Linked DNA regions of Macaca fascicularis. The protein of the gene in region 1 interacts with the protein of each later gene in a pairwise test. Links are inferred from orthologs where the notes say so. Each region holds a gene or a part of one and is shown in the gene's direction. Other genes may lie near its edges.

Evidence for each region. The genes of interacting proteins can lie anywhere in the genome.
Region 2: the proteins of YTHDF1 (region 1) and DHX30 interact in a two-hybrid assay, tested with the Homo sapiens proteins (2 studies listed by BioGRID, with this or other methods). The link is inferred for Macaca fascicularis from reciprocal best matches to the Homo sapiens genes YTHDF1 and DHX30.

Annotation. Positions count from the first base shown.
Region 1 is NC_088384.1:119,319,672-119,325,108, reverse strand, and holds the start of YTHDF1 (YTH domain-containing family protein 1), read left to right. Parts: upstream 1-1,771; 5' UTR 1,772-2,053; coding exon 2,054-2,080; intron 2,081-2,288; exon of another isoform or gene 2,289-2,328; coding exon 2,329-2,353; exon of another isoform or gene 2,354-2,482; intron 2,483-3,977; coding exon 3,978-4,057; intron 4,058-5,437.
Region 2 is NC_088376.1:110,782,234-110,786,926, forward strand, and holds part of DHX30 (ATP-dependent RNA helicase DHX30), read left to right. Parts: intron 1-1,362; coding exon 1,363-1,515; intron 1,516-1,827; coding exon 1,828-2,664; intron 2,665-2,938; coding exon 2,939-3,014; intron 3,015-3,097; coding exon 3,098-3,202; intron 3,203-3,446; coding exon 3,447-3,622; intron 3,623-3,841; coding exon 3,842-4,048; intron 4,049-4,139; coding exon 4,140-4,221; intron 4,222-4,299; coding exon 4,300-4,493; intron 4,494-4,595; coding exon 4,596-4,693.

The DNA of each region.
Region 1 (5,437 bases):
CACGTCCAGTTTCTTCCGCACACTCATCCTGTGAGAGGGGAGTAATTACCCCACCAGTGAGGAGGAAAGGAGGCCTGAGGCTGAAGGCCCTGTAACTGGCTGTGAGGCTCTGAACTCCAGTGGTGACCACTGTACCATCCTGGCTGAGAGATGGGAGCCGGGGGAGCAGACAGACAGGGGCTCTGACCACCCAGACACCCCCTTGCTGCAGTCAGGGCTGCCAAGCAGTTCAGTGTCCTGGGAAGCAGGCACTCAGGCCCTGCCTAGGATGCGCAGGCCTTATCACATAGAGGCAGGTGGCAGAGTGCCCCCAGGAATCCCGCTGGCCCTACAATCCCCACACATCTTCTCCATGTCTGCTCCCATCCGGGAAATGTGTTCATTTTCAGATCTACCCCAAATGCACAGATTTCATCTCGGCCTGAGGTGCCTGCCCACGGTCAAAGCATATCAAAGTCCCAGTGGATCCAGATTTATCCTCAGGGCACCAGACATCCCTGAGCTCTGTTCCAGGGAAACATGCCCAGTCTGCTTTCCCCAGCTTTAGGCGAGGCGGGGCCCCAGGGAGGCCTGGTGATGAGCAACTTGGAGCAGCAGTCCTCTCTGTGGCTGACTGGCCCACTGGGGGCCGTTTCCACCTCCTCCTGCAGCAGTGTGAGAGGCTGTCTGCTGCCTCACTGATGAGGATGTCCAGGCTTGGAGCCGTCTTGGGACTCCATTGCCATCCCTGCTGTCACTGTCCGCCCTGCCTAGCACATCTGTCCGGGCCCACTTTGTGGAAAACACTCCTTTGACGTCAGAATGACTGACACCCCATTCCAGGTCTTTCTCCTTCAGCGGGACCCAGATCCAGGCCACGTGAAGATGTTACACCTGCCAGAGCTGGAAAGAAAAATATCAACCTCGAAGCCTCTGTAGGGAGTTAGCCACAAGGGTGGCAGGATTGGATACTGGCTGCAGGGAGCGAAATTCAACGCCTGACCAGAAGGGCGTCCAGACTGGGGATGCTGAGGGGTTAGGAACTGAGAACTGGGCTCTCTTTGCACAGCTGCAGCTAAGAAGGTGCTGTCCATCCTCGAACAAAGACCAGAATTCCCCTGGCCCGGCCTAGGCTGCGGCACAGAGCACTACCGTAAGTCTCTTTTCCTCCTGGTGATGAAATCGGGGTCAAGAATCTAATATGCGAACTTCGTTATAAGCCGGCGAGCCTCTTGCAGGTCCGGAGGTACATCCACAGAACAGCTGACCTTCGGGACCGGGCCCCGGGCTCCGCTGCTGCTGAAGGCCAGGGCTGCAAAGCGAACAAAGCCCGCAGGTCCCGCGGCAAGGCGCAGGGGCTCGCAGCTCTGGGCGGGCAGGGCTTTGCGCGTGGGGGCAGGGGGGACCGACCACGTACAGACCCGTAGCCCGGCTGTCGGACCAGAGCAGCGTTTAGTCTTCAGACCTTGGGGAAAACCACAGAGGCCTCAGTGCCTGTAGCGCGTCGGGGGCTGCGGCCGTGGACGGGGCGCGGGGGTGCGGGGGCGCGGTGCACACCTGGACGCAGCCCGCCAGCCCCTTCCCAACAGGCCGCGCGGCTCCGCCGGACACGCCCCACGTGACTTCCCCGGCTCGGGGCTTCCCCGCCCAGCCGGCTGCGGCCCCCGCCCCGCCGCGCGAAACTACGACCTGGGAGCGAAATCTGTCCCGTAAGACAGCAGCGCGCAGGCGCGAATCGTGGCGGCCCGGCGCGGTGCTCCCGGCCTGCCCCGCGTGCGCGCTGACGCTGCGCAGTCTCGTTCCCGGCTGCCGCCGTCGCTGCCGCTGTCGCCGCAGCCGCCGCCGCCGCCATTGGAGTCGACGCCTCCTCAGCGCGTCCGCGTCCGGGGCTCACCGCCGTCGCCGCCTCGTCAGGGGCCCGCGCGCCCAGCAGCCGCCGCCGCCGCCGCCCGGCCGGCGCCCGGGGAGTTGGCGGCGGGGCCCGGGGCCGCGCGAGCTAGGGTGACAGGCCCGGCCTCTCGGGGAGGCCCGAGCCGGCGGGCGCCCCGGCCCCGCGTCTAGTTGTTCATGAAGCATGTCGGCCACCAGCGTGGACACCCAGGTAGCGGGGCCGGGTTACGGGGGCCGTGGCCGGGGCCGAGTCGCGGGGGCTGGGTTGGGGTCCTGGGCTGGACCGCAGAGGCCGGGGTCGCGGGGGCCGGGGTCGCGGGGGCCGGGGTCGCACGTGACCGCGCCTCGGGGCCTGCCGAGCTCGCTGCCCGCTGGAGACCAGTTCTCTGGTGAATAACTTTGTGTTTCCTTTTTTCCGCGGGTTGTGTGTACCCCACGTCCCGGCCTGCGGCGGTGCAGAGAACAAAAGGACAAGATAATAAAGGTGAGCGGAGTCCCGGGACGGCCGGCGCGGGCTGGAGTGGAGGAGGACGGGGAAGGAACGGTCCAGGAAGCTGCGTCTGGGACCGGAAACTTTCTCTCTTCCGCCAGCTTCAGGGAGATAAAACTTGAGGTTGTGTGACGATTCTGGGAGATTTGGCAGGTCGAAGACAAGGGCTTCTCAAGAAGTGAAATTTTAAATGAGTGTTCAGAGTAATTTGGGCCCTTCTCTGCCCACTGCATGATCATGGATTTGCTTTGGGGAAGGGGAGGTAGGAGAGGAGGCTTTGCGGGGTGGACATGGCCGCAGGGGACGAGCGACTTGCCTTTTGCTGCCCAGTAGGGGCTGCTCTAGGAGAGGGGCAGTCCGAGGTTCTGCAGGCTAAGCTCCATATCCCGGGTAGTTTCAGCCGGTTTTCCAAGTCTGTTAGCATCTCCTGTGACATTATGGCTTGGGATAAACCCTCAGAGCGCACTGGTGGGAAAATTGAAACACTTTTTTAGCTAGTTTGTGTGTCAGCTCAGGTGTAAACAAATACTGTGGTTCATCGTGTTTTAAGATTGGAAAAGGCCCAGCACTTTATTTACCTTTGCTTTCTTTTTCTGACTGAGCATAATAACAGTGGGAAGAAAAGTGGTGTGAAAGGAAGATCAATCTTCGGGCGCCCAAATCACTGAGCCAAAGGGAGAAAGCTACGCTGGGAACTGCTTAGGGCAAACCTGCCTCCCCTTCTATTCTTGAAAAAGATAGTTTCTAAGACATAAAAAGTTACATACCTCCCCCACAGTTTGCCCACAAGGAAATTCCTGGTGGACAAAGGACTGAACTCAGAGTCATTCCTCCTCACTGAGATAAATGCTTATCTGATTGCTTCGTTTGGAAAGGCTAATCAGAAACTCAAAAGAATGCAGTCTCTTACCTACCTATGATCTGGAAGCCCCCTCCCTGCTTCAAGTTGTCCTGCCTCTCCAGACCAAACCAATGTACATCTTACATTGATTGTTCTCACGACTCCCTTTATAAAATGTATAAAACTAAGCCGTGTCCTGACCACCTTGGGCACGTGTTGTCAAAACCTCCTGAGGCTGTGTCATGGGTGTGTCCTTAACCTTGGCAAAATAAATTTTCTGAATTGACTGAGACCTGTCTCAGATATTTGGGGTTCACTGTGGAGAGTCAGATAATAACTCCCAGTAGTCCTTCAGTTGCAGCCCCTTCCCTCTTAAGTTTTCTTCCCTCAGTTTCGCCATACATTTGGGCATACATTCTGCATTTGGGTTTTTGGAGGCTCCACTTCTATTTGCCACACATAGGTCTTTATTAGACCATGTCAGTTTCACCCTGGTTATGTGTTCCTTGCATTATGTGTTAACACTTAATTTGGTCAATCTCACCAAATTATGTTTAAGCCTTTATTTAAAATTTAGCTTAAATTATTGAAAGTTTCCTGTCACCCTTCTAATTAGTTGTGTAAACCTCAGTTCTATACTGGTTTTATTCCTTTTAAAATAAAAGCATAATTTCTGCTAGAAATAGATGGAAATAGACTTTACTTAAACTTTGACTTCCGTGCTTAAAAGTAATCTTTTAAAATTTGAGGGTAATATTTTGCAACTTTTTGTTCTAGTACAAAATGGTTCTTTACATCAGAAGGATACAGTTCATGACAATGACTTTGAGCCCTACCTTACTGGACAGTCAAATCAGGTGAGTTTATTTTGTTAGCATATATTTGTTTTTAAGTTGGTTTTAATTGTCGTGTAACACACCTTTGTTGTCATTTCTGATTTTTAAATTATCCTAAACAACAAAGCAGCAGACTATAAAGTATTAGAAATGATAGAATGCTCATGAAGATGTGCCTCCTGTTAACCTTGGGCGTGAGTGGGATGAAAATGATTTACCCCGTGGAGGAGGCAGCATCCCAATGGGGCCGGTATGCAAACAGGTCTAGTTGGCTCCAGTTTTTGTGGGTCACTGATGTGTCTTGCCTTTGATGCAGTGGAGTTGTGTGTGTTTCTGAAGCTTACTGGTTATTTTTCGCTGTGGATGATTGGAATTGTGGTCTCGGGAAGCAGCTGAGAGCTGGGCTGTGGAGCAGCTGTGGAGCCAGATGCCGCCTGGTTTTCAGTCTTTTTTTTTTTGAGACAGAATCTCACTCTTTGTCACTGAGGCTGGAGTGCAATGGCACGATCTCAGCCCACTGCAAACTCTGCCTCCCGGGTTCAAGTCATTCTCCTGCCTCAGCCTCAGGAGTAGCTGGGATTACAGGCGCCCACCGCCACGTCTAGCTAATTTTTGTATTTTTAGTAGAGACAGGGTTTCTCCATGTTGGCCAGGCTGGTCTCAAACTCCTGACCTCAGGTGATCCACCTGCCTCGGCCTCACAGAGTGCTGGGATTATAAGCGTGAGGCACCACGCCTAGCCTGATTTCACTTTTAACTCCACCACTGACTGGCATGTGTCTGTGGCTTGCATTCTCTTGCCTCAACTTTCTTTTCTGTGGAAGAAAGAGAGGAGTAATTCTTTGTAGAATTGTTGGGAGGATGACATCAGATGGTGTACATAAAGCGCTGAGACAGTACCTGATACAGCAGGGCCCAGTGAGTCATAGCTGCCCTGTTTTCTTAGGTAATTCAGGCTTTCTCTGCCTTGGCACTGTGGACATTTTGCATGGGAACATTCTGTTTTGGGGGCTGTCCTGTGCATTGTTGGATGTTTAGCAGCCTCCCTGGCTTCCCACCCACTAGATGCCATTAGCAACTCCCTCTCCCCATACCCAGTTGTAGCAAGCAAAACTATCTTGGCTGATGTTTTTTGGGGAATACAATTGCCCTGGTTAAAATCTACTGGGAGCTGCTCTCTCTCCTCTGTGCTACTGTTGCAGCAAAACTCCCAAGAGAAGCCATATCTGGTTAAGAGTCCAACTCAGGAACCAGACTCCCCTGCCTCCAGGCCAGTGGCTTGGATGAGAGGCTGCACCTCTGTGAGCTCCTCACTTTGGTGAGCAGGCCTCATGGGGCAGCACAAAGCAGATGCTCGCATTCCTTCCTTCGCCGCTCCAAATAGCCCTCAGCTACTGGGCA
Region 2 (4,693 bases), on another chromosome or scaffold:
TTTAAGGAGGAAGTGTTTGATCTGGGCTCCGAAGGGCGAGCAGAGTCCAGACATTAGAGGTGACAGGAACACAAGACTAGTTTTACCCACGTGCCTGAGGTATTGGAATGCCATGTTTTATCTCTGGCGAGGTGGCTTTAGGTATGTAAGGAGGTAAGACACAGTGTTTTCCTTGCAGTGGCTTGTTTGATCAAGTTGCATTATAATCAACATTTATAGGAAACTCCACGTGTATCTATATGATGGGGTTACAGATGGGTCAGGTGCCATGTAGGGACTAGGAGGTGGGATGGAAGAATGATTGAGGGAGGAAGGCTTTGATGAGGCAGCAAAGGAAGAGGGAGTCTGTGGGGTGTATTCTAGCGTCATTGAGGGCCTGGTCTGGCTGGTCCGAGGGTACACGTTGGGAATTCACGGAGGTGACAGGGGCCTATTGTGGTGTTGGAGGGGCTCTAGTCGCACAGTGAGTGGTTTCTCCTCAGGGCCTTCCCCAGACGTAGGGCTGTTCTGCTGTGACACATCACGTTTAGCTTTTCTTGAATTAACTTTATTATTATTTTCTTCGAGACAGAGTCTTGCTCTGTCGCCCAGGCTGGAGTGCACCATCATGATCTCCGCTCAATGCAACCTCTGCCTTCAGGGTTCAGGTGATTCTTGTGCCTCAGCCTCGCTAGTAGCTGGGACTATAGGTGCTGGCCACCCGCCCGGCTAATTTTTTTTTTTTTTTTTTTTTGAGATGGAGTCTCGCTCTGTCGCCCAGGCTGGAGTGCAGTTGCACAATCTCAGCTCATTGCACCCTCCGCCCCTCCAGGTTTAAGCAATTCTCTGCCTCAGTCTCCGGAGTAGCTGGGATTACAGGCGCGTGCCACCACGCCCGCCTAATTTTTTGTAGTTTTAGTAGAGGTGGGGTTTCACCATCTTGGCCAGGCTGGTCTTGAACTGCTGACCTCATGATCCACCTGCCTTGGCCTCCCAAAGTGCTGGGACTACAGGTGTGAGCCACCGCACCCAGCTAATTTTTGTATTTTTAGTGGAGATGGGGTTTCACTATGTTGGCCAGGCTGGTCTTGAACCCCTGACCTCAGGTGATTTGCCTGCCTTGGCCTCCCAAAGGGCTGGGATTATAGGTGTGAGCCACTGCACCTGGCCTGAATTAACTTTAGTTCATTTTTTAAAACGTTTATTTTGGTAAGTTTACATTTTCCTAGTTCATAATTTCTCCCTCCATCACCATGTCAGCCAAGATCCAAAATCTCTTAGACATTACTTGGCACAACAACTGCCTCGGAGCTCCTGAGCTTGTCTGGGCTGGTTTTTGGGGAGCCCTAGAGCATAGACTGAGTCTTGCATGTCTCCCTGCAGAGCCTGGGCCTGGTGGACAGGAACAATGAACCACTTACACACGCCATGTATAACCTGGCCTCTTTGCGTGAGCTGGGTGAGACCCAGCGCCGACCGTGCACCATCCAGGTGCCCGAGCCCATCCTCCGCAAGATAGAGACCTTCCTGAACCATGTAAGAGGCCCTGCATCCCTCATCACCCTTGCCCCCTGGAGTCTGCCTCCGTCTCTTCAGACTGAAGGCCTCTACCTGCGACAGGCAGTAGTACCTCCCCATTCTCTTCACTGAGATTGGGGCCTGGGAGCCCCCTGGCCTCAGCAGCCCAGTCTTGCCCACAAGGATCCCGGGGCAGTCACGGACTAAATTAATCCTGTGCCCAGTGGGTTGGGCCACAACCTCTGACCCAGGCGGATCCTGCAGAGTGGCTGGTTGGGTGGTAATGAGGAATTTCTTTTTCGTTGTTTTGCTTGCCTCCCTGCCCCCCAGTACCCTGTGGAGAGTTCGTGGATCGCCCCAGAACTCCGGCTGCAGAGTGAAGACATCTTGCCCTTGGGCAAGGACTCAGGGCCTCTCAGTGACCCTATCACAGGCAAGCCCTATGTGCCCCTGTTGGAAGCAGAGGAGGTACGTCTCAGCCAGAGTCTGCTAGAACTGTGGCGGCGGCGAGGGCCAGTCTGGCAGGAGGCCCCCCAGCTACCTGTGGATCCACATCGGGATACCATCCTCAACGCCATTGAGCAGCACCCGGTGGTGGTCATCTCTGGGGACACAGGCTGTGGGAAGACCACACGCATCCCCCAGCTGTTGCTGGAGCGCTATGTGACCGAGGGCCGCGGTGCCCGCTGCAATGTGATCATCACCCAACCTCGCCGCATCTCTGCTGTGTCTGTGGCACAGCGGGTCAGCCACGAACTGGGCCCCTCCCTGCGCCGGAACGTGGGCTTCCAGGTGCGGCTGGAAAGTAAGCCCCCGGCCCGAGGCGGGGCCCTGCTCTTCTGCACTGTGGGTATCCTGCTGCGTAAGCTGCAGAGCAACCCCAGCCTGGAGGGTGTGAGCCACGTCATCGTGGATGAGGTGCATGAGCGGGACGTGAACACAGACTTTCTACTGATCCTGCTCAAGGGCCTGCAGCGGCTCAACCCGGCCCTGCGGCTGGTGCTCATGAGTGCCACAGGGGACAATGAGCGCTTCTCCCGATACTTTGGTGGCTGCCCTGTCATCAAGGTGCCTGGCTTCATGTACCCGGTCAAGGAGCACTACCTGGAGGACATCCTGGCCAAGTTGGGCAAGCACCAGTACCTGCACCGGCACCGGCACCATGAGGTGAGGGACACCCCCATCCCACCCGAGACTCTTGGCCTTTCCTCCATGGATGCCCCTCCTCCCTGGCCCTGGGGCTTGGTGGCCTGGGGCAAGTTACCCTCCCCAGTCCTCAGTTTCCTTGATAGAAACTGAGGACTAACCCCATGTGCGTGGCACGCATGTGAGGATTGGAGTTGATGTCAAGCGGCTCCGTCTCACTGAGTCAGGTGGCTGTGTCCTTGGCATGACCCCTTACCCCGGGGCTGTGACTGTGGCCTCTCTTCCCCCACCCCAGTCTGAGGATGAATGCGCACTCGATTTGGACCTTGTGACTGATCTGGTTCTGCACATCGATGCTCGTGGGGAACCAGGTGGGTGCCTCCCCATCTGCCCCATGCCAGTCCTGGCCACGCTTGCAGAAGCAGCTGGCTCATGCCCCAGGGCTCCTTTGCAGGTGGGATCCTGTGCTTCCTGCCTGGGTGGCAGGAGATCAAAGGAGTGCAGCAGCGCCTCCAGGAGGCCCTGGGCATGCACGAGAGCAAGTACCTCATCCTGCCAGGTGAGAGCCCGGGCAGAGGGACCAGGGACCTTTGGAAACCAGCCTGGCCTCTGTCCTGGGGACTGACCCAACTGGGACTCCGGGGGTCCCGGTTTCTGACCAAGCTGCGGCACTTTTCACTGGGCATAGTGTTTATCTGCACCTGTTTCATCAAAATGGGGTCAAAATCCTTGCCCTGCCCACATTCCAGGGGGGAATTCTGGTGGAAGCAGTGCCCATAACCAGTGTGTGTCTTGCCCACCAGTGCACTCCAACATCCCCATGATGGATCAGAAGGCCATATTCCAGCAGCCTCCAGTTGGGGTGCGCAAGATTGTCTTGGCCACCAATATCGCGGAGACTTCCATCACAATCAATGACATCGTGCATGTGGTGGACAGTGGGCTGCACAAGGAAGAACGCTATGACCTGAAGACCAAGGTGGCACCTACCTCCTGGACCTGGCCAGCCACTGGGGGAGGGACTCCGTTTCGAGGTGGTCTGCAGCCCAGATCTACCTTAGACCTATTTTGTGTGTGTTGAGAAGGCCACACTTGTGGGGTCTCAGTGTTCCTGGTGTTGGGGGCTGGTGAGGGTTACTCGGAGTGGGGAAGCACTGAGGAAGTGGTATCTGTGCTGCTTACCTGCCCCCTCCTCCAGGTGTCCTGTCTGGAGACAGTGTGGGTGTCAAGAGCCAATGTGATCCAGCGCCGGGGCCGAGCGGGCCGCTGCCAGTCAGGCTTTGCCTACCACTTGTTCCCTCGAAGCCGGCTGGAGAAAATGGTCCCTTTCCAAGTGCCAGAGATCCTGCGCACGCCTCTCGAGAACCTGGTGCTGCAAGCGAAAATCCACATGCCTGAGAAGACGGTGTGGTGGGGTGGGGCGGGGTGGGGGCTGGCCTGGGGACCAGACAGGTGGGAGGCAGGCTCATGGCGGGCTCTGGCTCTGTTTGTCTTAGGCGGTGGAGTTCCTGTCCAAGGCTGTGGACAGTCCAAACATCAAGGCAGTGGACGAGGCTGTGATTTTGCTCCAGGAGATCGGTATGTAGGGGCTGGGCTGGGCTGGGCTGGGCCGGGGAGTAGCTCCTGAGGGTGGCACTGACAGCTGAGCCATTGCAGGGGTGCTGGACCAGCGGGAGTACCTGACCACCCTGGGGCAGCGCCTGGCTCACATCTCCACCGACCCCCGGCTGGCCAAGGCCATAGTGTTGGCCGCCATCTTCCGTTGCCTGCACCCGCTACTGGTGGTCGTTTCCTGCCTTACCCGGGACCCCTTCAGCAGCAGCCTACAGAACCGGGCCGAGGTGGACAAGGTCAGTCCTGACTCCTTCCTGGAGCCCTCCACCCACTGCTGTTCTGAGGGGGCGTTGTCTAGCCCCTGCCTGTGACCCGGCTGCCCTCTTCTCCCCTCCCAGGTGAAAGCACTGTTGAGCCACGACAGTGGCAGTGACCACCTGGCCTTTGTGCGGGCTGTCGCCGGCTGGGAGGAGGTGCTGCGTTGGCAGGACCGCAG